6 linked regions of the Rattus norvegicus genome follow. The protein of the gene in region 3 interacts with the protein of the main gene of each other region in a pairwise test. Links are inferred from orthologs where the notes say so. Each region holds a gene or a part of one and is shown on either strand. Other genes may lie near its edges.

Evidence for each region.
Region 1: the proteins of Rassf5 (region 3) and Btrc interact in binary tests that used the Homo sapiens proteins (3 or more experiments, as listed by UniProt). The two-hybrid records come from large-scale screens. The link is inferred for Rattus norvegicus from reciprocal best matches to the Homo sapiens genes RASSF5 and BTRC.
Region 2: the proteins of Rassf5 (region 3) and Ubqln1 interact in a two-hybrid assay, tested with the Homo sapiens proteins (3 studies listed by BioGRID and IntAct). The link is inferred for Rattus norvegicus from reciprocal best matches to the Homo sapiens genes RASSF5 and UBQLN1.
Region 4: the proteins of Rassf5 (region 3) and Stk4 interact in binary tests that used the Homo sapiens proteins (3 or more experiments, as listed by UniProt). The link is inferred for Rattus norvegicus from reciprocal best matches to the Homo sapiens genes RASSF5 and STK4.
Region 5: the proteins of Rassf5 (region 3) and Mylip interact in binary tests that used the Homo sapiens proteins (3 or more experiments, as listed by UniProt). The two-hybrid records come from large-scale screens. The link is inferred for Rattus norvegicus from reciprocal best matches to the Homo sapiens genes RASSF5 and MYLIP.
Region 6: the proteins of Rassf5 (region 3) and Smad4 interact in binary tests that used the Homo sapiens proteins (3 or more experiments, as listed by UniProt). The link is inferred for Rattus norvegicus from reciprocal best matches to the Homo sapiens genes RASSF5 and SMAD4.

Annotation. Positions count from the first base shown.
Region 1 is NC_086019.1:254,319,864-254,323,363, reverse strand, and holds part of Btrc (F-box/WD repeat-containing protein 1A), read right to left. Parts: intron 719-3,500; coding exon 557-718; 3' UTR 526-556; intron 1-525. UniProt on the Homo sapiens protein: Substrate recognition component of a SCF (SKP1-CUL1-F-box protein) E3 ubiquitin-protein ligase complex which mediates the ubiquitination and subsequent proteasomal degradation of target proteins. Recognizes and binds to phosphorylated target proteins.
Region 2 is NC_086035.1:6,442,940-6,447,239, forward strand, and holds the start of Ubqln1 (ubiquilin-1), read left to right. Parts: upstream 1-1,500; 5' UTR 1,501-1,666; coding exon 1,667-1,819; intron 1,820-4,300. UniProt on the Homo sapiens protein: Plays an important role in the regulation of different protein degradation mechanisms and pathways including ubiquitin-proteasome system (UPS), autophagy and endoplasmic reticulum-associated protein degradation (ERAD) pathway.
Region 3 is NC_086031.1:45,252,478-45,256,743, forward strand, and holds the start of Rassf5 (ras association domain-containing protein 5), read right to left. Parts: upstream 2,801-4,266; 5' UTR 2,673-2,800; coding exon 2,231-2,672; intron 1-2,230. UniProt on the Homo sapiens protein: Potential tumor suppressor. Seems to be involved in lymphocyte adhesion by linking RAP1A activation upon T-cell receptor or chemokine stimulation to integrin activation.
Region 4 is NC_086021.1:173,166,778-173,170,791, reverse strand, and holds the start of Stk4 (serine/threonine-protein kinase 4), read right to left. Parts: upstream 2,801-4,014; 5' UTR 2,748-2,800; coding exon 2,713-2,747; intron 1-2,712. UniProt on the Homo sapiens protein: Stress-activated, pro-apoptotic kinase which, following caspase-cleavage, enters the nucleus and induces chromatin condensation followed by internucleosomal DNA fragmentation.
Region 5 is NC_086035.1:19,511,672-19,515,917, forward strand, and holds the start of Mylip (E3 ubiquitin-protein ligase MYLIP), read right to left. Parts: upstream 2,801-4,246; 5' UTR 2,575-2,800; coding exon 2,488-2,574; intron 1,380-2,487; coding exon 1,189-1,379; intron 1-1,188. UniProt on the Homo sapiens protein: E3 ubiquitin-protein ligase that mediates ubiquitination and subsequent proteasomal degradation of myosin regulatory light chain (MRLC), LDLR, VLDLR and LRP8. Activity depends on E2 enzymes of the UBE2D family.
Region 6 is NC_086036.1:69,539,685-69,543,184, forward strand, and holds part of Smad4 (mothers against decapentaplegic homolog 4), read right to left. Parts: intron 337-3,500; coding exon 124-336; intron 1-123. UniProt on the Homo sapiens protein: In muscle physiology, plays a central role in the balance between atrophy and hypertrophy. When recruited by MSTN, promotes atrophy response via phosphorylated SMAD2/4.

The sequences.
Region 1 (3,500 bases), on a different chromosome or scaffold from region 3:
TGCCTTTGAGAGGCGCTAGAGATGTGGCAAGGACCAAGTTCACGATAACTGCTGGGGCTGACCAAACAAGCTAGGTGTTCTTCTGTAGACGAGCAGAGAGTAGAGACAAGAAAGCCACTTTCTGTTCCCAGTGAGACCAACAAGGCAGAGCTGTGTGACGTCCGTGGCATAACACAGCTAGAGCTGTCTCCAGTCACGCTAGAAGAGTTAGATGGAGAGGGTCTTCCCTGTAGGTCTTGATCTAGGAGCTATAAATGACAGGCTAGGGCTCACTAGTTTTCAAACTGGCCCAGATGTCCTCTTACTTTCATAAAAATTGTACTGAAGGAACGATTACAATTAGTACTGCTATATAAGAAGAATCTTCTAGAACTGCAGCTGGCTACTTGGTGAAAGTGGTGCTCACTGGGCTGTCAGCTCTGCTTTCCTGTGTACAGGGTTGGGGGAAAGTCGGAGAATGAGACCCCTCCGAGAGTGACAGCACCCACAGCCAACACAGTGCTGCCTGTACGCTTCTTCTCATACCTGGGCAATTATGAGGCCAGTGTCGCGTTATTTATCTGGAGATGTAGGTGTATGTCCGAGAAGGGGAGCGGGGCGGTTCAGCATGAGTGGCTGGATCATTTAGGAAGTCCCAGATGAGAATTGTGTCATCATGTGAACTACTGACAATCTGGAATTCATCAAACTGGAGTCGGAAAACTCTTCCAGAATGCTCCTAAAGAGGCAGAAACAAAGAGAGTAAGACTTTGAACTTAAAATCAAAGCCCCTTTGTTTGCAGGAGCCTATGGGAGGCTCAGATGTGCTCTTTCACTGTTTTACACACAGACACGAAGCAGTCACCCTTGTTAGAATGGAAAACTCAACTATTGGGCAACAGCTGATCTCAGGAACACAGGAAGCAATGCTTAGCCCAGGCAAAAAGGCAGTGAAGATGCTGGTTTGTCACAGTCTACTGGGCTTGAGGAGAGAGCTCGTTAGCACCTCCCTGGTACCTACTGGGCTGGAAGAGAGAGCTCCTTGGAACCTCCCTGTTTTATCTCCATGCAAATTCCTTTGCTTGACCATCAGAAGTCAAGGGGTGAGTAGCAGGAAGAAGTGGCATGCTGGCAGATGTATGCCAACCAACCTTCTAGGGTCTGGAGAGATGGCTCAGTAGCTAAGAGCACTAGCTGGAGGCCCAGGTTCGATTCCCAGCACCTACGTGGTAGCTTACAACCATCTGTAACTACAGTTCCAGAGGGTTTTGACATCCTCTGGCCTCCGAGGACACTGTACTGTACAGATATACATGCAGGCAAAACATCCATAGACATAAAATAAAAACAAATCTTAGGGAAAAAAACTTCCTTAATTTGAAGAACCGTTTATAGATTTTCATGACGCACAAAGTCCTACCATGGCCAATCTGAAGCCATCCACATATGATTGACAATTTGCAAAATTCTTTTTTGTTGTTGTTGGGTCTTTTGCTTTTCTCGAGACAGAGTTTCTCTGTATAACAACCTTGGCTGTTCTGGAACTTGCTTTGTAGAACAGACTGGTCTTTAACACAGAGGTACTCCTGCGTCTGTCTCCTGAGTACCGTGATCAAAGACATGCACCACTATGCCTGCCAACTTGCAAAATTTTAATAGTTGGCTTTCATGAGGTCAGGGCCTACTTTAGCACATGAGGGGAGCAAACACTGCCCAAATCAGGTGTTTTGGAAAGGACTTTCAACCACTGCTGCTAGTCAGTCTCTCAGTCTCTCCTGCACTCCAATGCCATCACTGATTACTACCTACCCTTGAGTTCATAGAAACACACACATGTAGTATATATGAGTGTGTACGTATGTTTGTGCCTAGCTTACTTTTTAAAGATTTAAAGATTTATTTTATATATAATTACATTATATATAAACATATATTTATATATTTATATATATGTATATATGTGTATATATATGTATATGTGTATATATATGTGTGTATATATATGTATATATATATGACTACACTGTAGCTTTCATCAGATCCCATTACAGATGGTTGTAAGCCACCATGTGGTTGCTGGGAATCGAACTCAGGACCTCTGGAAGAGCAGTCAGTGCTCTAAACTGCTGAGCCATCTCTCCAGCCCCATGCCTAGCTTATTTTACTCAAACATTAGAACAATGGTTTTTTTTTCCTTTTTTGTTACTACAAGTAAAAAGTTATTTTATCCCTTTAAAAGGTTAGTGGCTAATATCCCACTGTATGGCTATACTACAGTTAGTCTACCCTCCTGTTGATGGACATATGGACTTTTCACTTTTCTTTTTTATTATAAACAAAGCTGCTTTCACTCGGGAGGCTGAGGCAGGAGGATCTCTGTGAGTTTGAGGCCAGTCTGGTTTACAGAGTGAGCTCCAGGACAGCCGGGACTCAGGGAAACCCTCTTTCAAAACCGCCAAAGAACAAAAATAAATAAATGAATGGAGACAGAGCTGCTGTGATGGTGCACAGTCATGATGACAGCCCTAGGAAACCGAGGCAGGAGGATCACCAGTTTGAGGCCAGCCTGAACTACATTTCGAGATTCAGTCTCTAACTCTAAACACTTCAAACATTTATTATTGTATGCGTTTGCTTACGTGTTTCTCTGTGTGCCATGTGTCTGTCCAGTGCTCACAGTTCCCTGGTTGCCCTCTGCCCCCACAATTAAAGCTACTTGTGAGCTACTGTAAGAATGGCTATTGCTCAAGACTGCTGAACCACTGTTCCAGCCTCCATGGTTCTGTTGGAAATATGCACTCACTTCTCGAGCAGCAGAACTGTGTGGCCACAGAAGAGGGGTGTCCTTGGTAGATGCTTGCAAGAAGCTTCCAAAGCGGTGCCACTTGACAAGAGTTCAGAAGCTTTCCCATCAGTGATACGACAATCTTTCAAACCCTAGCTTAATCTCCACAGTGATATTAAGTGTTTAAGTTTGTTTTCTTTATGAAGTTGAGCAAGTTCTCCTGGCTTGCTTAGAGTTTTACCATGGGTAGGCACTGGATTTTGACAAATGACTTTTTTAAAAAATTATTTTATGTGTATGGGTGTTTTGTTTGTATTATGTGTTGCCTGGAAATAGTTACAGACAGTTGTGAGCTGTCACGTGGGTGCTGGGAATTAAACCCAGATCCTTTGCTGATCTGGTGCTACTGTAATCATGGAGCCTGCCTGTTGAGATGGGTGCCATGAACTGAACACTGGGCACACAGCCCAGTGCCTACTATGTAAAAGGTCTGCACTGTAAGCTGCAGCACCACAGCACACCAACCTTCAAGTGCTCAATCAGCCTTCTACACTGTACCTATCACCCCCACTGCAGTTGAAGTCAACCTCAGGTACACAGTAAGCTCGAGTCTATGCTCTGCTCGAGCAGGGGCAACAACAGGGTGGGAAGATGGCTAGTGGATTAAAACATTTGCCTTGCAGCTCTAGTGACTTGACATCAATCTCTAGAACCCACATAAAGGTAGAGGGAAACG
Region 2 (4,300 bases), on a different chromosome or scaffold from region 3:
ATTCCATACAAACATCAGTAAAGGTTATCTACAGCCGCTGTATTAGAGTAAAGAGATCGGGTTTCTAAAGGGCAACAGAATGAAGACTTCCAGGAGGTGGGGGATATGATGTGAGATCACAGAAAGTTAGGCAGGGAAAGGTGTGAGGGGGGCGGAAGGGGGGGATGTCATCATAGAAGGCAGCCTAGGGAAGTACACAGGGAGAATACAGCAGGAAGGAAAACCAGTCAACAGAGGAACTAATGAAGTTGGAAGGAGATTTTATATATATAAACATGAGAAAATTCCAAAATGCTTGCTTGCTCAGTGGTGGAACTTTCTACCCCAAGAACTAACAATTTTCTCACACCTAGACATAAAGCTTGTAACTTCTTCCTGTGATCGAACAACGCTGACAGAAATGTAAGTGATATCAAGTGACACTTGGGTCGCCATTTACCTTCGAAACTCTGACCCAGATTTCAAAGGGCTCTGCTAAGAAGTGTTTATGCAACAGTAGTTAATCATAGAACAGGGTTTGATGGCCTAAGAGCAGAACTATGGAATGTCTTTGCATATTAGGGTCACGGTACACTGTCAGAGTTCACGTTTGTGCAATGTTGATTAACAAAGTGCCGGACTGTATTACATGCTATCTTTGCGAATAAAGGATGTGGGAGTCACTTGTGAATGACTTATTTGTGCCTACATTATGCTGAAAATAAGTTTTCAACCATTATCCCTGATGCGAGCTGCACAGTAACGTAATGGGACAGAATACAAAAGGCACACATCAGCTGGGCTTAACTCCTACCCGTTGGGTGGACAGTCCTAGGCATTCTGTTTCTGCCCCCACGCAGCTTGGAAGACAGACAATATGGGTTGTCCTGTCTTCTGACCAAACCTGTTTGACTCCATGGAGGGAAGCTCTGGCCTCATTGAAACAGTGAGCGCCTGCGGTTGCGCTGGTGGCTCACTGGCGTCTGTTTCGTGTTCCTTTGAAGACCTTTCACCATTGGCTTAGCTTCCAAGCCCTGAGCACAAGACAAGGCAATCGTAACTCCTTCCACCCGGGCAAACACTACGCTTATTAAAATAAAGTAACTCGCCGCTATTTTATAAGCCAACGCCCACGGGGACCAGGTCGGGAGGATACCGGGACCGAGAGCAAAGGGCCAGACGTTTCTAGCAATTTCGCTGCCCGTGACGTCATCTTAGTGCACCATCATGGCGTCTTCCATGAAACCCCTGTTTAAATGCCTTTCAAAGAAGAACGGGAGACGCGAAGTGGGTTAAGTTCCCCCGCTGTGCCCAGCGCTCCTTCGACCTGGAGGAGCCCGCGCTTCGTCCGCCGGCTAAGAAAGGAACGAGCGCCGCCAGGCCATGAGTCGGCTCCTTCGCCAACGCGCTACCCGGCGTGCCTCGCGCAGCCGGCCGCCAGGAGTCGGCGCCGCGGCCAGCGCGTTACCCAGCGTGCCCCGCGCGGCGCCCGGCGACGAGCGTGGGGGAGGTGCGGGAGGAGGAAGCGGCGGCGACGCGGAGAGTCCCCGCGTCCACACGGCAGCCGATCGCCCACCGGGGCCTGCACCCGCAGCCCGCGTCTACGCACCGTCGGTGGCCCCGCAACCTGTCGCGCCCCGCGGACCCGGCCGCAGCCCCCAGTGTCGCGCTCGCCTGAGTCACCGCCATGGCCGAGAGCGCAGAGAGCGGCGGCCCACCGGGCGCTCAGGACAGTGCGGCCGACAGCGGCCCCGCAGAGCCCAAGATCATGAAGGTCACGGTGAAGACGCCTAAAGAGAAGGAAGAGTTCGCTGTGCCCGAGAACAGCTCGGTCCAGCAGGTGAGGGCGCGGGCCAGGCGGTCGCTGCGTCGCCGGCGGGGCGGGGAGGGCGGCGAAGGGGCGGCCTGGCCGGGCGGCGGCCCCGGGGAGCTCCGGTCAGGTCCCGCCGGGTTCCGCTGCGTGAGCTGTGCGGGGCCGGGACGAGTGAGCCGCGCGGCCTGGGCTGGGCTGCGCCGCAGCCGCCGAGCTCCGGGCCCCGGGACCCCAGTCCTCACAAAGGAGCCGGGAGCTGCTGGGAGGCAGGGCGCGGGCGTCGCTCGGCCTTTGACCAGGCTGGGTGGGGGTCATTGTTTTACCTGCCTGGGAATTGGAGAGGTTTGGGGGCGAGAAGCACGTGGAGGGCTAGTTCTCGGTTTTGAATGCTGAACTCTCCCCCACCTTTCAGCCTTTTATTATAAAAATTATGACGCGGAACTTGTTTTCAGTCACACTGTACTAGCTCACGCCTGAAAGGAAAAAAGTAAATGACTTTTTGATTCATAGGCGACTTGCTGCTTCTGTGAACAATACTTCCGTCATCGCTTAGCTGCCACTCATTGGATAGGTTTTTGTTTGATTTTTTTAGGGAGATGAGAAGACACCTGACTGGGTCTTAGCGGTTGCAACGGACCGCAAGGAAACATGGTTGATGTTAAGGCCGATAATTGCCTTAAAGTCTATTCAGGAAAACAAATCTTGCAGCTAATTAAGAGCCTTGGTAGAACCTATCAAATGTAGTTTTCAACACGGTCTAGAGCATTTGAATTGTTGACAGTATCAAACATTGTAAACAGTTTTATGCGAGGAAGCAGGGAACAGCCACTGGAATGTACCTGTAAGTTCTCTCAAGGCTTATCTAGTTCCAAAGGTGAAGTCGGTTTCTTTTCTGAAGCAAGAGGATGTGTGGCACATTGAGAGAAACTCTGGTTGACTGAAGCATCATTCCTTGTGCGTTAACGCTGCTATAAAAAAAAGTTTACCGTCTTTATGTTTTCCAGCAGGTGTGTCCGTCACCCACAATTGACATTTTCCTGCGTTTTCTGTATTGGGCATCTCTTACTTCTAAAATACACTTACTATTAAAAATACTGCAAATATCAGTATTACCCTTATAAGGAAGGTAAGCCACATAAATATTAGTGGCTTGAGAACAACGTCTTTGAAAAATGGTATTCCACATGATGAGAGGCGCAGTGATACGGACATGGTTGCCTTGGCTGGTTTCCCCAGCTCCATCTACACCTGTGTCAGCCAAGCAGGCCATAGTGGAGCCTGTTAGAGTGAACTACAGGCTTCCTTCCGTTCCTCTTTTTGTCACCCCTGTAAGGATTGTTTTTCCTACAAGATTGAGTTCACAGAGACCTAGTTGTCTCTCATGTGGTCTTCTGGATAAGGCTTTTTTTCTTCCTCCACTCAGCATAGTTTTTGAGATTCATCCCAGTGAGGTCTGTATCCCTCCCACGACAGAGATTTGCATACTAGGCACAGGCTTCATTCTACCACTGAACCAAGTCCTCAGCTCAGTACTTAACTGCTGAGTGGTTTTCCACACCATGAATGTGCCGTCACCTGCCCAGGGTCATCTGTTTTCAGCTGCAGTTCTTGTGAAGAGCCTCAGGAGTCCTTTTTGAGGCCATATGCTCTGTTATTGTTTAGTTGCTTTTGTTTTTATTTAAAAGACAGGCTTTCACTCTGGAAGTTTGGCTATCCTGGAACTCACACTGTGTAGACCAGACTGGCTTCAAATTCATCTGCCTTACTCATCTGAGTGTTGGTATTAAAGGCATTCACCACCATGCTCTGCCAGTTCTGTTTAGTTTTATAAGAAACATGAAAAATGTGCTATTTTGCAGTTCAGTCTACATCATATGGGTGTGTGCTCCTTCCTTCTGTCTCCTTGTTAATATTTGGTACGAATAGGGTTTTTTCTTTTTCTTTTCTTTTTAAAGATTTATTTAGTGTGTGTGAGTACACTGTAGTTGTCTTCAGACACACCAGAAGAAGGCACCAGATCCCATTACAGATGGTTGTGAGCCACCATGTGGTTGCTGGGATTTGAACTCAGGACCTCTGGAAGTGCAGTCAGTGCTCTTAACCACTGAGCCATCTCTCCAGCCCTGGTTTTTTTTTTTTTTACATTGTAACCGAGTAATGAATGTGTGGACATACTAAATTATGAAGCTCTTGAGTCTTCCTGAGAGTCCCAGTTTAGATTTCCATCTTCCTGGCAGCTTCCACATTTTATTTCAGGACATTAGAAATAATACTTTATAAATAGAAAAATTATTTAGGTGATTATCTATAGGGTTTTTTTGGGGGAGTGGGGAATAGTGACACTAGAATTTTAAATTCCGTGGAAGCTTATGTTTTGCTGTGCTGTAAAAATGTCTTTACTGGGTAAAAGTAAAGCTTTCCTAAAGTAACTTATTCTAATGTTGGTTTATCTGTTTCCTGTGGGAGCAGTAAATGTGATAAAAGTTGAAAGCATACCCTGTCCCCCCA
Region 3 (4,266 bases):
TTTTAAAGACAAGGGAAGGCAACAGAGAGAGAGTCATGGGGTCACACAGAGACTAAGTGACATTTTGGATTCAAAGTCAGGACTTCGGTTCCAGTTTGAGCGTGTGAGTGTGTGTGTGTGTGTGTGTGTGTGTGTGTGTGTGTCTATGTGCACACGTAGCTAGGGTTGGCCAGTAATGGCCGGCCAGGACTCTGCCCAGCACTGAGATTACGAGCATGTGCCACTGTGTCTGCTTTCTTTATTTTTAACATGGGTTCTCAGGATCAAGTTCTGGTCCTCATGCTTGCTTTGCCAGTTGAGTTGTCCCCTGCCTTCCCAGCAGGATTACCTCTTAAAAGTTCCCTTTTCTGACACCCCCCCACCCACGCTTTTCAAAAATGAAAATAAAACAAACCCTCTCAGAGAGCCAGACCTCAGCTTAACACCAGATGCCTGGTGAGTCTGCCCTGCGCACCAACATGTCTCAACTTTCTCCTGGTCAGCCGAACACTCACGGTTAGTTAAATATTAAAAACAACAAACAGAGATTCCTTTCTGTGGCCTTCCTGACTCCAGCGCTATTGCCTCTTCGGCGTTCCCGCGTCTCTGGCTGGTATGAAATCTACTACGAGGAGGCTACAGGAACTCAAGAAAGTGAAAGGACCCCAGCAAGTGGCAGGTCAGAGGCCCTGCCTGTGGCTTCTATTTTCCAAGTGCTAGGAACTGTTTAGGGACGGAGCAAGGGAAATAAACAGTTCTAATGTGGTATGAGGATGCTCGTTTAGTCACGGAGTACTGCACCGATACCCACAGAAACCCACCAACACATCATCATCGCTAACCAGAAGAATAGCACAAAACTCGGCGTAAATAAAGCTGTCGGTCCCCCAAAGTCTAAATACAGGCAAGGATTACAACCAGCATATTTTCACAGACAATGCAGCTTCTGGGATTTGAGCATAAGTAACAGCGAAGCCACTGCCTCTTCCCCTGAGTACAGGGTTAGTGGGAGCATCCAGAAGACTGAGGGAGGAAGGGCGAGCAGCGTATCCAAAGGTAAGTTGCACTGGACTCTTCTGCAGGTCAGCAACATTTACAAGGGACAGCAGCCAGTGCGCACACACAGCACAGGCATAGGACTCTACATGCCCAGCCATCTCCTGAACAGGCACCTGTATGGGGGGAAGGATGCTCATGGTGGGGAGAAGAGCACCCACTTTCCCTTTTCACACTTCCTGGAGCTGCTGAGAGGGAGCGAGGGTAGGGCTAGTTGCTGCTGTCCAGTGTTGCAGTCTGAAGGAGGCACAGGGTGTAAGGTAGGAGAAAGGCCCTTTAACCAAGAGATGTGGCCGAAATCCACAGATGATTGCTGGAAACCGTCACTGCGCCGTGTGCCTCACATGCTCAGAGTAGCTATGTAAGCACGTGGGTATGAGTATCCTCTGGCAACAGCAGATCCCTGGGTTGGTGGGGAGGAGACTTCTTACAGGGAGACACGGACTTCAAAAGGGTGCAGATTTGCTCAGAAATTCTCTACCCTGGTGTCCAGTGTTTCAGTCAGGACTGGGAGAAGCCAGCAGATCAGTGGGGATTCCTTGTGGAAGGAACGGGCAGGGAGCTTAGAGCTGGAAGATGGGTGCAAGAGTGCAGAAGGAAGAGGAGGAGGAGGAGGTTGGGCGCATCAAACACTGGAGCATATGCAGTACAGAGGGTTGAGGACCCAGGTGTGGCGGGCTGAGGAGGCTCAGGTGCAGGTGACCTTGGCATCTTTCAGTCTCACAGCCTGTTTCCATTCAAAGCCTAGCCAGGCTTCCTGTGCCAACAGCTCCCTAGGAGAAGATCCTGAGAAAACCCTGAGGTGACCAACAAGTCATTTCCCCATTAACTCTAATAAGTAGGGTCAAATACTTCGTTATCAATATCAGTGCCCAATTTTAAAAACTTACAACTAAAGGAAGAAGAGAACTTGCGTAAGACAACCGAATGACCTTGTGGAGAACCATTAAATCCCAACCTGCAAACAAGCTTGCCTGCATGCACAGGGTAGAAGGCTCGTACCCGTCTGAGGACAACGTAACTGTACACATATAACCACCTCTGGCCAGTGGGCAGCCATTAGAGGATGCCAGGCAGTGACAGCACTGTCTCCAACATTACCTGCCTAAAGTTCGGGCTGGCCACAAAAGGCAATGGCCTCCTCTCCCAGGCTCACAGCCCTTCACCTCGCGCACCTTCCCCCGCCCTCACTCACTAGCGCAGCGCAGCGCCTGCCGCAGCACCTCTCGTCCGCACAGGTCACACCAGCCCGGGCCACCCCGGAGCGCCAATTCCGCGAAACGGTGTCCCTCTCCTCTCTCGGCTAAGACGCGGGGATCCTGCGGTTGCTCGAAGATGCTCCTCACGTCGCGGGGTCGGTGCGACCCAGGTCGCCGCCGCAGTCTCTGCTGCAGACCGGGCCGGACAGGGCGAGCGTGTCGGCAGTCCCGGGGCGTGGGCTCCGGGTCCCCCCGGGCATTCCTCCTGCTACCGCGACCCTCTGACGCCCCGGACGCGGAGATCAGGGCCGTGGGGATACAGCGACGCGGCCGGGCGGGCGGTGGCGGCTCGGTGCCACCCAGGCTCTGCAGATACCGCGGCGGCTCGGGGTCTAGCAGCAGCGGGTAGGGACGCTGCCCAATGGCCGGGGACGCCATGGCCAAGGCCCGCAGGCGGCAGCAGCTCCAGAGCCTGGCCAACAGAAGGGGCGGCTCCGGCCGAGCGCGCTTTTAAAGGGCCCGCAGCCCGCGGGCGGGGCGGGGCGGGGCGGAGCCCACGGAGAGGCCGGAAGGGCAACACGCGTGACTGCGGGCCCGAGCCGCATGGGTTTAGAGGCGACTCCGGGACTAGGGGGTTGGTGAAGGTCTGAGCATCCGCGAGGCTCGGTGGGCGCCAGCTCTTCTGCCTCTGTCTCCAGCCCTGCCCCGTCCCCTCTGGTTAGCTCCCAGGACGCCCTAACACCGGCGGGGCGGGGAGCAGGTGGGAAGGGAGGGCTTGGAACCCTGGTGGGGCCCCGGGAGCGGGAGCGAGCCCGCTGCTGTCAGCAAGGCGCCCCGCGGATTCTCCGGGCCGCTCTGGGAAACTGGCTACATCAGCTCTCCCTTCTCACCCCTGCTGCAGAGGCTGCCCCTCCTCGAAGACTGGGGTTAGAGTGACTGGTGACCTTTGGTGATCCGGTGATCTTGAGGGACCTCTGTGCCCCATGGATGGACAGGAACTCTCCTCCCGAATTGCCCCCAACCCCCTTAGTTGCTGGAGTAACCACTGCGGAAATAAATACCAATCCCCTAAACACCTCTTTTATTCCCGGTATGCAAGGTTCACCTGAGTAGGGGTGCGGGGTGGAGAAGTCCGCATCCTGCCAGCACCAAGGGGTGCGCCATAGGTTCCTGTCTGGCTTAAGGTTTATGTATGTGGCCACCATCTTGAAAATCCTAATTCTTGACCCGGCCTATTCTTTTTGCACTGGGTCTTGAAAATTATGTAGTGGTAATGACTAGCGGGCCCGTTCTCAGTCCTGTCCCACGGGAAAGAGAGCAGGTGGGACTGTGGGTCTTCGAACCTGTCCCCGATCGACCGTAGGCTAGCAAGGGTGCTTGGCCCTCTACGCTCTGGTTTGGTAGCTGCAGGCGCCATTGCTCTTTCCAGTTCTGCGGTTCTGACTGAGGCCTCGCTCACACTTTCCCCCTTAAATAACAGCTTTGGTTGATTTAGTGGCAGTCACCAGCAAGCAACTTTGGGACTAGAGAGTCACTGCACCACATTTAAAAATTCCATATTTGGGGTTTCAACAAACCACTGGTAGAAATATTGGGGGTGGGGGCATGTCTACAGTGAACATATACACGCTTTTTCCTCATTGTTTATTAAATAGCACTGGATAGCGATGATTCAGATATACTCGCACAGTACCGGGTGTTTAATATAGACGGGGTTAAAATGCATAGGTTCTCGCTGAGCACTAAGCTACTTTATAAAAGAGATGAGAATCCTCAGGGTACTGGGTACGGGGAGCAATGGTGTTTGTATAGAGTGTGTGGGGATTCTGAAACCAGACCTGGAATTGTCTATAAATTCGCCTATACTTTAATCTCCAGGGTTCTTTCCAGGCCAATGATGGGTCTCCCCCTAGTGTCCGGCTGGGGAATCCTCACTTTCGCTTTTCCCCTGGAAGGTATATTTAGGCAGTAGCTGAAAGTCCAGTGACCAGGGAGTCCCCTCCCTTCCTTGCTCCTCAGCCTCTCCCGCTGG
Region 4 (4,014 bases), on a different chromosome or scaffold from region 3:
AAACGTCAAGCTAATGACTGCAGAGAGCATGTCCTGCACTGAGACAGTTGGGGCACAGACCATCCGAACCTCTCAAGAAGACATCTGTATTTTTCTGAACACGAGCTGTCATAAAGTGACCTCGCAGATGACTCATTTTCAATCGACCATCCCATGTCAGAACGCTCAGAGGCTCGATGCATTTACGTACATTTGCTCCTCTAGCAGAATGTTCCAGATTACTGCTATAAAAGATAACCGGAACATCTTAATAACAGAGTGGTCAGTCCAGTCGCTTCTGCCTGTAATCTCAGCACTCGGGAGGCTGAGGCAGGCAGCTGGAGGCTGCAGGACTGTAGAGCGTTTGAGGACACCTGTGTGAGACCCTGTCTCAAAATAAACAAAAAGGGTAACTGAATTAACTGTGCCCCTCCCTCGTGTGACTGTTAAGATTCTAACTCAGAGAACCTCTGAGTATGAGGTTGTACCTGGAGATAGGCCATTTTGAAATCAGAAGAGATGAGGGCACAAAGAGATACGAACGAAGAGCACATGAAGAGTGGGGGAAAGGTGCCCGTTTGTAAACCAAAGACATCTGATTTCCAACTTCCAGCCTCCAGAATGGCAACTAAATAAAAAATTAAATTAATTTCCGTTGCTTAGGCCATCCAGGTGTGGTGCTTGTTACAGTAATCTGAACCAGTTAATTCCGGTGAGAATAAAATACAGAACAGAACAGCACCAAATCGACCCTGCAAAACTCTTCTCTTGCACTCTATTACAGTTCTTAAAATCCAAACGCTGTAAGAATGAGGAAAGTTGCTGGGCTGTGGTGGTCCAGCCAGGAGGCAGAGGCAGACAGATCTCTGTGAGTTCAAGGCCAGCCTGGTTTACAGAGTGAGTTCCAGGACAGCCAGAACATTTACACAGAGAAACCCTGTCTCAGAAAAAAAAAAAGAAAAAGAAAAAGAAAAAGAAAGACAACAAGTAATGAGCAAAGTCAAAACAAAACAAAAAAATTCACCCCACCCACTATCACCAAACACAAAGGGAAAAAACCTTTTAATTAAATGAAGGTTTTGGGGGAAAGGAACCAAAGACAATGCACTGGTCTAGCGGTGACTGCACACATAGAGTAACAAGCTGCTAAGATGTGTATACACAAAGACCCAATGGAACAGGTAACTTCCAGAGAGGCTTCAGAGTAGGGAAGCAAGAACAAGGGTGTTAAGATTAGATCACCAGACATTAACGTTCCAACTGCGCCTCTGACTATGGGGCAGCTAACAAATGCCCTGCCTCCCTGTGCCCTGGCTTCATCATCTGTACAGTCAGGAGACAAGGATATCCTCCTCCTATGATCGTCGTGAAGGCCGGTTGCGTCAGTAAGGTGTACCATTTCAAAGTACCACTTCTACAAGCTCAGAAGTGGTCAAACACCAGCAATTTCGTATGGTTGAAGAGGAGAGATGGAGAGCAATTAAAACAGTGCCTGCCGACCTGTAAGCACTCTCCGGCTGTAATTAATAATTATTGCTTTTAGAGCCTCGCACACCACAGTAAGTCAAACCTGAGCCCATCTTAAAAGCCGTTTGTTTGATTCCATGTACCCCACCCCCACCCCCACCAAGGGTGCTGCCCCAGGCTTTCAATCTGCTCCCTTCACCTCTCGGGTGCGGGGCACTCCCTTACTCTGAACACTTCCTATTTTAGTGCTCATTCTGCTGCAGGAAGTCAAACGTCTTCTCTGTGAAACCCAAGTTTTTGGCTGTATCTGAGAGAAGCATGACTCCCTCAGGCTCTACGCTCTTTCCTCCAGGTGAGGGGCAGCGGTCCAACGCACCAACAGCCCGTTTAGGAGTTGAGACTTCCTAAAGTCAGTCACCTTCATCTTAACACAAAACAATTCTAGATACTTCCAGAATCTGGACTTGAGAGTATCGAAACAGAATTGGAAAAGGACAAAGTCTGACTGAACCTACTGTGTCTAAACTGTTTATTGGACCTCAGCTTACACAACCCCGGTTCCCCACCCCACCCCACCCCCTTATCGACGTCCCAACTTTGGGTGTTGGAAGACTAGGGAGGATTTGAAGAAAATTAGGCAGACACTCAGGAGGACATCAGTAATAAAAGCCATTAATTACCATCACCACTACTACATGAGGTTGACACCCTCAAAACCCTTGGAAACTCACTCCCCCATAACCCTCTCTCCATTACTAGAACCACGAAGCATTGGTACTTCCCCAGTAAGGCAGTTAAAAGCAATGACTTTTTAGACAGGACACAAAACCCCACTCCTCCTCTTACTGGCTATGAGACTTCCAATCAATTTTTCTAACGACTTCTGCCTCAGGAGCAAAGCATCAGACCTTTTACCACCGCACGGTCTGTGGTACTTAGGACACTCTCAATAAGTCCTCGCTCTCACCCGGCCTCAGCATTCGCCCCTACATCCACGAGATCCTTCTTGGGGCGCCTTTCCCCGGCCTCTGCTGGTGTCTCCCTAACTTGTCCGCACGTTGCCCAGAGAGTGCTCTCTCTAACCACAACCACTTCTATCCCGGCCAGCGGATGCTCTCTCACTCAGCAGGTGCTCCTGCAGCCGGGTCCCCAGCCTCGCGGGTCCCTCTCCGCCCGGCAGGAGCTTGCACGCCGGGGTCTACCCTGAGCAAGTTCGCGCCTTCCCTTCCCACCCAACTCTCCTCCTCTCAGCCTACGGCCCCTCACCTGCGCGGTGGGTTCCTCAGTTGCACGGTCTCCATGGCGCTGCCAGCAGCCGCCCAGACTGCCTCAATGCTCCATCCTCTGGGAGCCCGCCCCGCAAACCCTCCCACACTTCCGCTTTCCGCCCCTACCGGAAGCGAGAGGAGGCCGGGCTGATCGGCGTGAGTCACGTGGTACAGTGGCGGGCGGATACAGAAGTCTGAGACCAAAGAATTTCCTCTCGGGCGGCCTCTAGTGCTCAAGTGTTAGCGTCACCCTCTCCTTGACCTGCCTTTGGACTGAATACTCTCAAGCCTAACTGAGGTTTCTCCAATTTCTCAGGCGGTGAGGCTGTTAGCAAAGCATGGGCTTGATAAGAATTGAGTTCTTGTTAGAGCCAAGGGGAAATGCCCCAAGTACTCTGTAAGCTAGAGCGTAGTAAAGAAACCACAGAAATATCTGCTCCACGACTGGTGAGGTTTTATTGTAGATGAGAGAGAACAAACAGCATCTGGAAGACTCCTGAGCAGAGAGGAAGAAACAGGCTGGCCAAAGCCAGGGATTTATCTTCTGGGCAGAGAAAATAGCGAAGAGAGAATAGCAGGTCGGGACCTTGCTATACCATAACTGCTGCGGAGGGGAGTGAACTAGTTATACTCTAGAACCGCCTGAGAGTATGGTAGAGGAGGTAAGGAAGGCTAGGATGCTCATGTTACTAGGGACCCAATGAGCCTGCAGGTTAGCTTGGGCTTTGATATGTAATCACAGCTATGTCTCAATAGACAGCCATGAGGAAGTCGAGGAAGATAATGGAATGGCACCTATTGGGAGACAGAAACCAACAGTTTCTAGAAGAATACTCGATCTATCCACCAGCAATCCTTTTGTTTACCCTCTCAATATTCAGCACATGCCTGCCCTTTTTTTGGGAAGGAAATGGGGGTGGGGTGGTGGTTTCCCTTTGGACCTGGCACACCCCAAAAACGGGCAGACCCACTTTAGTCCAAAAATGACCTTCAAGACTCAGCTCCAAGCTGAACTATAGGATTGTTGGCAGATAAAAATAAAACTCACAGATTCCTGTAGCTCCTTCCATACAGCCACACAGTTCTGTTTTGTTGTTTTTAGGGGACAGGGGGTATATTTTTAGTATGGGGTTTGTAGGAATTTGTTTGAGGCAGCATCTGTATATATACCTGACTGGCCTGGAACATGTATGTAGACCAGATTGACCTCGAATTCAGAAACCAACCTGCCTCTACCTCCTAAGTGCTGAGATTAAAGGCATACTCCACCAGAGCCAGCTTCAGTGGAAGATCTTGACTC
Region 5 (4,246 bases), on a different chromosome or scaffold from region 3:
CTGTGTCATGTATTTTTCTCACTTACTGAACTAAGGAAGCTTTCACAAACCAGATCGGTTGGTCTGTTCGTCTGTCTGTCTGTCTGTCTGTAAACAAAAATCTCTCCCAACCTTTAAAATACCATGGTAAGGCAACGTGGACATTCCAAACCCAAATGGACGGTATTTTTTAATGTTTCCATTGTTTGTCTAGTAAATAAACAAAAACCGGTATGTTAAAATCTCTCTGAGGAGCCTGTTCCCCCATTAGGAGTAGAAATCTACAAGATCACATTTTTCACATGCGTGGCCCACTTCCAAGCCACAGGAGTATGGAAAACATCAGTGCTGGGATCCAGAGTTTGCTGTGGTTTTAAAAGCAATCATTTTCTTTCTTTTTTTTTTTCCTGTAGTCTCTTGCATTTCAGTAATAAATATTAAACCCCGCCTTCCTATTTTGGTTCATCTTTGAGAAAAGTATTACAGTCAGCTCAGAGGGAAACGTGTGTGTGTGTGTGTGTGTGTGTGTGTGTGTGTGTGTGTGTGTGCATGTATTTTGGTCGTTTGAAAAAGGAGGCCACACCCACAGGCTTCAGTTGTCTACCAAGGCTGGGGGCCCTCCGTTTAACAAGGAGGGGGGAGAAAAAACCTCATGCCCAACAATCAATCATGTTTAATATATCTGTAGGGTGGAATTCAGTTTACAGTGGCCTTCAAAGAGTCCTTTTATTAATTTTTTGTGAAACTTAAAAAAGTTTTCAAATCTGCAGGAGGCCAGACAGAGCACTCCCGCTACACACTGTAATCTGACACTAGGCTGAAGATTGACCAAGTTTAAGCAACCCAAGAGGAACAGTTTCCTGCTTTCGGTTAGAACAGTCTACAGTGACCTGTAGTAACACTGCTGAGGCGGGGTTACTCGCGGGCATTAGATGAAGCAGTCAGGAAGTCGGTGTCAGGTTTTCTTTTTGTTTGTACGAAGTCAGCCCTGTTCTCTCACTAATATTATACAGATTGGAGGGGAGCGGGGTGTTGGAGAAAAAAATCCACCCAGGCCAACTGTGCTTCGAAAAACGAATTTAAGTTTTTCCAGAACTTTCTCTGCACCAAGTCAAATTTGCCAGGGGACATCTCTGGGAGGGCAGGATAGCTGCCTCTAAATGGAATCAGAGGTGTACTTGACATTGGTTTGTTTCCGCCTCGCTTTACCTTGTCTGCTCCTGTAAGATGAGATGGGGCTCCACAAAGAACTTGACCCTCAGTTTAAGCCGGTAAGGTGCCAGCCCATCCATCTGCTGGGAGATCCGGTTTCTCAGATTCAGCCATAAGCTTTCACCTTTGCTACCCGTGAACTGCAGCCCAAAATAATCAACTTCTATGATTCCCAATCGCCTGCACACCTAAAAAACAGAACCAAAGGTATGGGGAGATGAGCAATGCAAACCCAATGCAAACATCTGAGTGAAGGGCTGGCAACCACTTTTCTAAAGTTCTACCTTGTTGCAATGCCAGTGGTAGACCGGAAAAACAAGGTTTTAAGGTATCAGCAAAGCCAAAACGCAGCTCTCCAATGGAGGCTTCGCATTGCTCGATTATTTCTAGGGTCTGACCAATTGCACAGAGAAAGGAGTCCCCCCAAACAGATTTCCCAAATGGCTGAGGAAGAGGAACCCACAGGGTATTTTATTTCTTATTCCAATCGCTGCAATTCCCTCCACCAGCACCATCTGCACAGCTGATTCGGCAGCTTATTATCTGGACAGTTTTAACCATCTGGATTCCAAAAACACAAACGCATTGAGGAAGCATGCCACAAGTGTCAGCTAAGCTTTACACACAGCTCTCCAAATAGCTCAGGTCTACAGGTCTTGAAGGCACAGTGTTTCCAGGGGTCAAATGGGTCTGCTGTACCCATTATGCACACACTGTTAAGAGCCTTAGTCACTCTTAAGAAAACACACGTGTAAAGACCCCAAGCAGGAGACTGCCGGCAGAACCGTTCCCCCGCAAATTACTCGGGCATACTCTGGATCCCCAGCAAACCTGGAGTGTGTCAGGTGAACGAACAGTCCTTCTAAGAAGCAGCTTGAGACAAGGGCTCACCTGGTCAGCTAGGGAACCCCGGGGCCAGCGACCATTTGCAGCCACCTCATCCCGGGACGCGGGTGGCGCTGCCGGGCTTTGCAAGGACTCCACGGGAGGCATCACATACACACACCTGCGGCAGGTGTGCCCTGCCACCTTCTTTAGAGAAAAGTGCCAGGCTAGGAGACAGGGTGGAGGTTTCCGGCAGTGTCCTGGTCTCCAGGCCCAGGTTCCCCCACCGTAAGCGTCCTCTATGCCCCCCCCCCCACCCCAAGCTGGCAGGGAGGAGGAGGCTGAAGCCTGGCATCCCGGGAGCGCTCTACGGGCCGCCGCTGCAACGTCGCCCGGCTCCGGAGGAGCATCCCTGAGCCCCGAGGCTTCCCGGTAATGAGCAGGGATCCCCTTTCCTATCACTGCCATCACCTGGTTGAGACAGTCCTCGCCGTTGGCTTTTGCCTCCACCTCCACCTCCATCAGCACCGCGTCCGGCCTCGTCACATAGCACAGCATGGCTGGGGCCGCCGCCACCGCCGCCACGGCCGCTTCTTCTCCGGTGTGCGCCGGGGCTGTCGCCTCACTGCAATTGCTCCAAGTCGGCTCCGGGCACCGCGAGGAAGGTGCAGCCGTGCGGTCACCCGCCCTGCACCCCACGCAGCCGCCACTCGCGTCCCCGCCACCCCCCACGACAGCCAGTTCCCGGGAGCTACACGGCCGCGCCGCTCCGACAGCCCCACTGCCAGCGCCGCTACAGGCACTCGTCTTTTATAGAGGCCCCGCCCCTCCGGCGCCGGTCTTCACCAATCACTGCGTGCTTGCCCCTCCTCCCCAGCTCCGGCAGCCAATAATCAGTCTCAATAGCTGAAGCCCCGCCTCCCGGCACCGCCTGTGGAGCTGCGGGAGGTGGGAGCCAGTTCTCTCCCCAACCCCGGGTACCGTCGCGGCCTCTGCCACTGGGCGACGCTCCTCCCAGCCCGCTGTCGCCCGCAGCTCCAGGGGACGCCTTTCTGTCCCGGTTTGAGAGTACTGTGATCAAACGCTCCTGCGATGCCACGGTTCTCAGGACTCCTGCGTGGGGTTACTCTAATGACCCGGTGGTTTGAGCAAGTCAGAGCCTAAAGTTGATGCTTTTCCGCTAGGATTTGCCTCTGAGTTCTCAAAAGAACACTCTTGAGTAGAAAAGTTTTTGCAATTGACCCATAATAAGCCGGTAACTTGATCCAAGCACCATTCTTTACATTAACACGTGCCAAGGGTTTCTAGGCGTGGGTTCTGCTAAATAGTTATGTTACCCATCCTATCTCTCATCGAATTCATTTGCAATATACCAGATACACTCCCTGTCCTTTCTTTCAGACAACCAGATGTTACCCCATCTTAAAGGTAACAGGCTTATCTTGGGACCTAGCAGGAAGAGTATCGCAATACAAGAGATTAGTAGTTAAAGGTGTGAAATCTTCATATTTACTACTTGTTTCTCTTGGCCTATACTGTCTTTCTTCTTCTTCTTCTTCTTCTTCTTCTTCTTCTTCTTCTTCTTCTTCTTCTTCTTCTTCTTCTTCTTCTTCTTCTTCTTCTTCTTCTTCTTCTTCTTCCTCCTCCTCCTCCTCCTCCTCCTCCTCCTCCTCCTCCTCCTCCTCCTCCTCCTCCTCCTCCTCCTCCCTCCCTCCCTCCCTCCCTTTCCCTCTCCCTCTCTCCGTACCTTTCTCCCTACCTCCCTCCCCACTTCTCTCTCTCTCTTCCTTTTGGTTTGTAAAATAAACCAGGAAATGTGGGTTTCAGCCTTGGATCCTTGGACAACTTCATCTCTCTGAAGCTCAATGTCCTCACAGTAGAATGGAGACTAGCTATCTTTTAGACCTTCCCCGAGCATTGCTGTGAAGCAATCTAGCCATCCCTGCCTGCCAATGACCCTATCTCTGTCCTGTTTGTTTGCCGTGTATCTAAGACGAAGTCTTGCTGTATCGCTCAAGCTAGTGGCGCACCTCATACGTGGGCTCAGTGATATGTATTTCTGATGAGGGGAAAAGTATTAAAAAAGGACTGGGATCTTAACAGAGCCCTCGCGGAGAGGGCAAGCTCATGGCGCTGTGTTTCGTGAACACGTTACAGTTCCTGCACTGCAGAACCAGTGCATGCTTGCACTCATTCACCGGTCTACGGCTCATTCCTTCCAGGCAGCAGG
Region 6 (3,500 bases), on a different chromosome or scaffold from region 3:
CCGGGCATGTATCAGGCTCCATACCATACCCAGCACCAGAAAGACCACAACAGCTCCAAGTGACTACAGATACATATCCCATGGTTAGGAAAACTTACGACTCTATCTGACTGCAACACTCACTTGTGGAAGCCACAGGAATGTTGGGGAAGTTGGTGGTACTGGTGGCATTAGACTCTGATGGGGCTAACAGAGCTGGGGCGCTGTACGTCTCCGTGGATGCGCGATTACTTGGTGGATGTTGGATGGTTTGAATCGAATGTCCTTCCGTGGGTAAGGATGGCTGTCCTTCAAAGTCATGAACATATTCATCCTTCACTAACATACTTGGTGGAGCTATGCAAAAAGAAAAGACACATTTTTATATTCTTCCATTTTCACACACACAAAAAACTACATACCAAGTAATATGACAGTATCTAAAACTTAACCATAATATCAATTCACATTCAGAATTGCTTTTCATATTGCAGAAAAGCATTTTCTCAGCTATAGCTACATTAGAGATTTTATCAATTTGACTCACTGAAATTTGAAGACATATTCTTCAGTTTTCTGACAAACTTAGAAGTACATAATCATCTAAATAAGTAAAAACCAATGCCTAGCAAAATGAGTTCAGTCCCTCCATCAGACATAGGATGTGTCTATGCCTTCACCTGGTGAAGAAGAATTCTGCCTCCCTGAGGATTTCCCACGTTTAACCTCATCCTCAAGCCATTGGAGACAGTGCTGCTGTCACACCTGAGAAAAGGCACCTAAAACCACACACGCCAGTGCTCTTTCACGATCACCAACATAAAGATACCGAGTCAGTCTACAAGCACACAGGCAGGCACTCAGTCTGACGCTGTCCATCGATGACTCCTCCATCTCTCACAGGCTTGACTCACTTGAAGCGATAGTGCAATCCACATGGAAAGACATCAGCAAGCAGAAGCACCATCTTAACACGGTGACCACTGAATTAGCTGAACTTAAGAGCCAACTTCCAGACAAGGGGCTCTGCATCCAAAGTACCAAAACTAAGACAGGAAGGATAATCAACTTGTCTCTGACATGGCCCAAGTGTTCGTAAATATGAGCAGAGGAACGTCACCACAGTACTGGCAACACCCACACTAAAGCCGCATGGATCACTGACTACTGACTCCTGCTTATTCTACTCCAGGTTGAAGAGGAAGCCTGTCAGGTGACAGGAGACCATGTTCCCCAATATGATCCTAATCCCCCGCTCTTTCAGCATTCTTACATGCCACTTGGCTGAGGATCTCAAAGCTTTCGGTAAGTGCCATTACAGAAAGCCGGAGTTCCAACAACCTTCAAGAGGTGCCAGGTGAGCCAATCAAAGGTCAGTAAAAGGTCCTCAGCATAGGCCACCATCCTGTCCACTCCAGGAGAACTCATCATTTCTCTAACAGTCCTGCTTCAGTCAAGGATATTAAATTCAAGGAGGAAATAGCCCAAGCCCATCATGCAAGTCTGAGGGCCATACCTCCTGCCTGTCCTGCAAGTCTGAGGGCTGTAGCCAAAGGAACCACAACATTAGGGAAATGGTAGGTCTTATCTGTGGAACTACAGAGAGTTTTATTGGGTTAAAAATGTAGGAGAGAGTTCAGTAAGCTTTGGAACTTTTCTCAGCTGTGTTAGGTTGTCGGCCATATTATTAAAGTCATCTTATCCTTTAATTGATTTGACAAACATAAAAAAGATACACTTTAGGCACATGAGAAAAGACTGCTCACAGGTACTCCATGGGTTGGAAAAACCATGCTAAGGAAAGAACTTACATCAAGACCAAAAGCCTGATCATCATCTATCATGGAGTCTGACAAGATGGCTGCTCAAAATGGACAGATGCTAGCACAAGTCGTGAGGGATATGGGGCTTACAGACTATGAGCCCAGAGCTATGATCAGATGTTGAAGTGTGCCTTCCAATATGTGACCACAGTTCTAGATGATGCTAAAATGTATTCAAGCCATGCCAAGAAGCTACGGTTTATGCAGATGTGCACTGGCAATACAGTGTCTGCTGACCAATCTTTGATGTCTCCTCCTCTGAAAGACTTAATAGATTTTTCGAGACAAAGAAATGATGACTGTGATAAGCTGTAATCCACCCATAATACTTGTAACAATATATGCTTGTTCTCAAATCCACTGCACCAAAATTAAGTAGTATACTGCATGTGTTCAAGCTGTATTTTAGAATATGGTACATTAATTATACTTAATTATACTATGGTTTTCAATTAAAATGCTGAGTCTATTTTAGTAGAATTAGTAATGGTTTTCCATTGACTTTTAGGTATAGAAATAAATTGCCAAAAATTTCAAAAGCGCAAAGAAAGAAGGGAAGGAGAGGAGGAAGGAAGAAGGGAAAGAGGGAGGGAGGGAGGGAGGGAGGGAGGGAGGGAGGGAGGGAGGGAGGGAGGGAGGAAGAAGGGAAAGAGGGAGGGAGGGAGGAGTATGTTTGGAAGTCCTGCCAGCCTAGAGAAAAAAAAAAACAAGTCACAAAACACTATGGTGATACACAGATTTAGGGGCTCAGAAGATGATTTGCTACCAAGGCTAGACACCTGAGAACGGTTCCAGAAACTCACAGTAAGAGAAATGATGCCAAGTAATCACATGCATGCACCCATGTGTGTGTGTGCACACACAGGAATGCATGCATCCACATGCACATACATACTTGCTTTAAAAAAAGAACCCACCAAGGCCCAGAAGTGTTCACAGTTTGTGATTTTTATATATAAAAAAGGGAATAATGCATGTATTTTCTGCATGAAAAATAAAGACGCCCTGGAAGCAAACACTAGGACCTAACCAAGTGACCACACAAGCAGAGATGGGAGCACTGGGAGCCAGCTTTCACCAGACACCTTTCTATATTGTTTCATTTATGGACCAATTATGCTGCTTATTAAAAAAACCAATTAAAAAATACAGTCTATACTTTTTAAGTCCATGAAAAAAGACTCAGTTCTCTACAGGACTAGAACTGATAAAAAGGGTTTACTAGAGTGGCTCACAGAATGCAGTCCAGCTAGTCCAGCAATGGCTGTCTCCTGAAGGAAAGTCCAAGAATCCAGCATGGGTTCAGTGCACGAGACTCCGTGTCTCAGCAGTCTTCAGTATACATGAATCCTGGAGGAGGCGGCTCTGGCAGCAGTGAAGGACTGCGTCCCCTCACCAGCAAGATCTATGAACTTGCCAGTGAGTGTGCAAGAAGGCAGAGACAAACATTCTTTGTGCCTTTGTATAGGCTGCCCTGAGGTGCAGTCAGATTTAAAGTGGGTCTTCCAACTTCAAGCAGTCTGCATTTAAAATAGGTCTTCCTACCTCAAATGATCCAATTAGGTAAAAACCCCTCACAGGTATGCCTAGTGTAGGCTTGGGATGTTAGTAAATCCAGATATAATCAAGTTGACCATCAAGAATAGCTAAGACAAGTCGTCTACTCCTTGTCAAGCCAACACACCATCACATCTTATT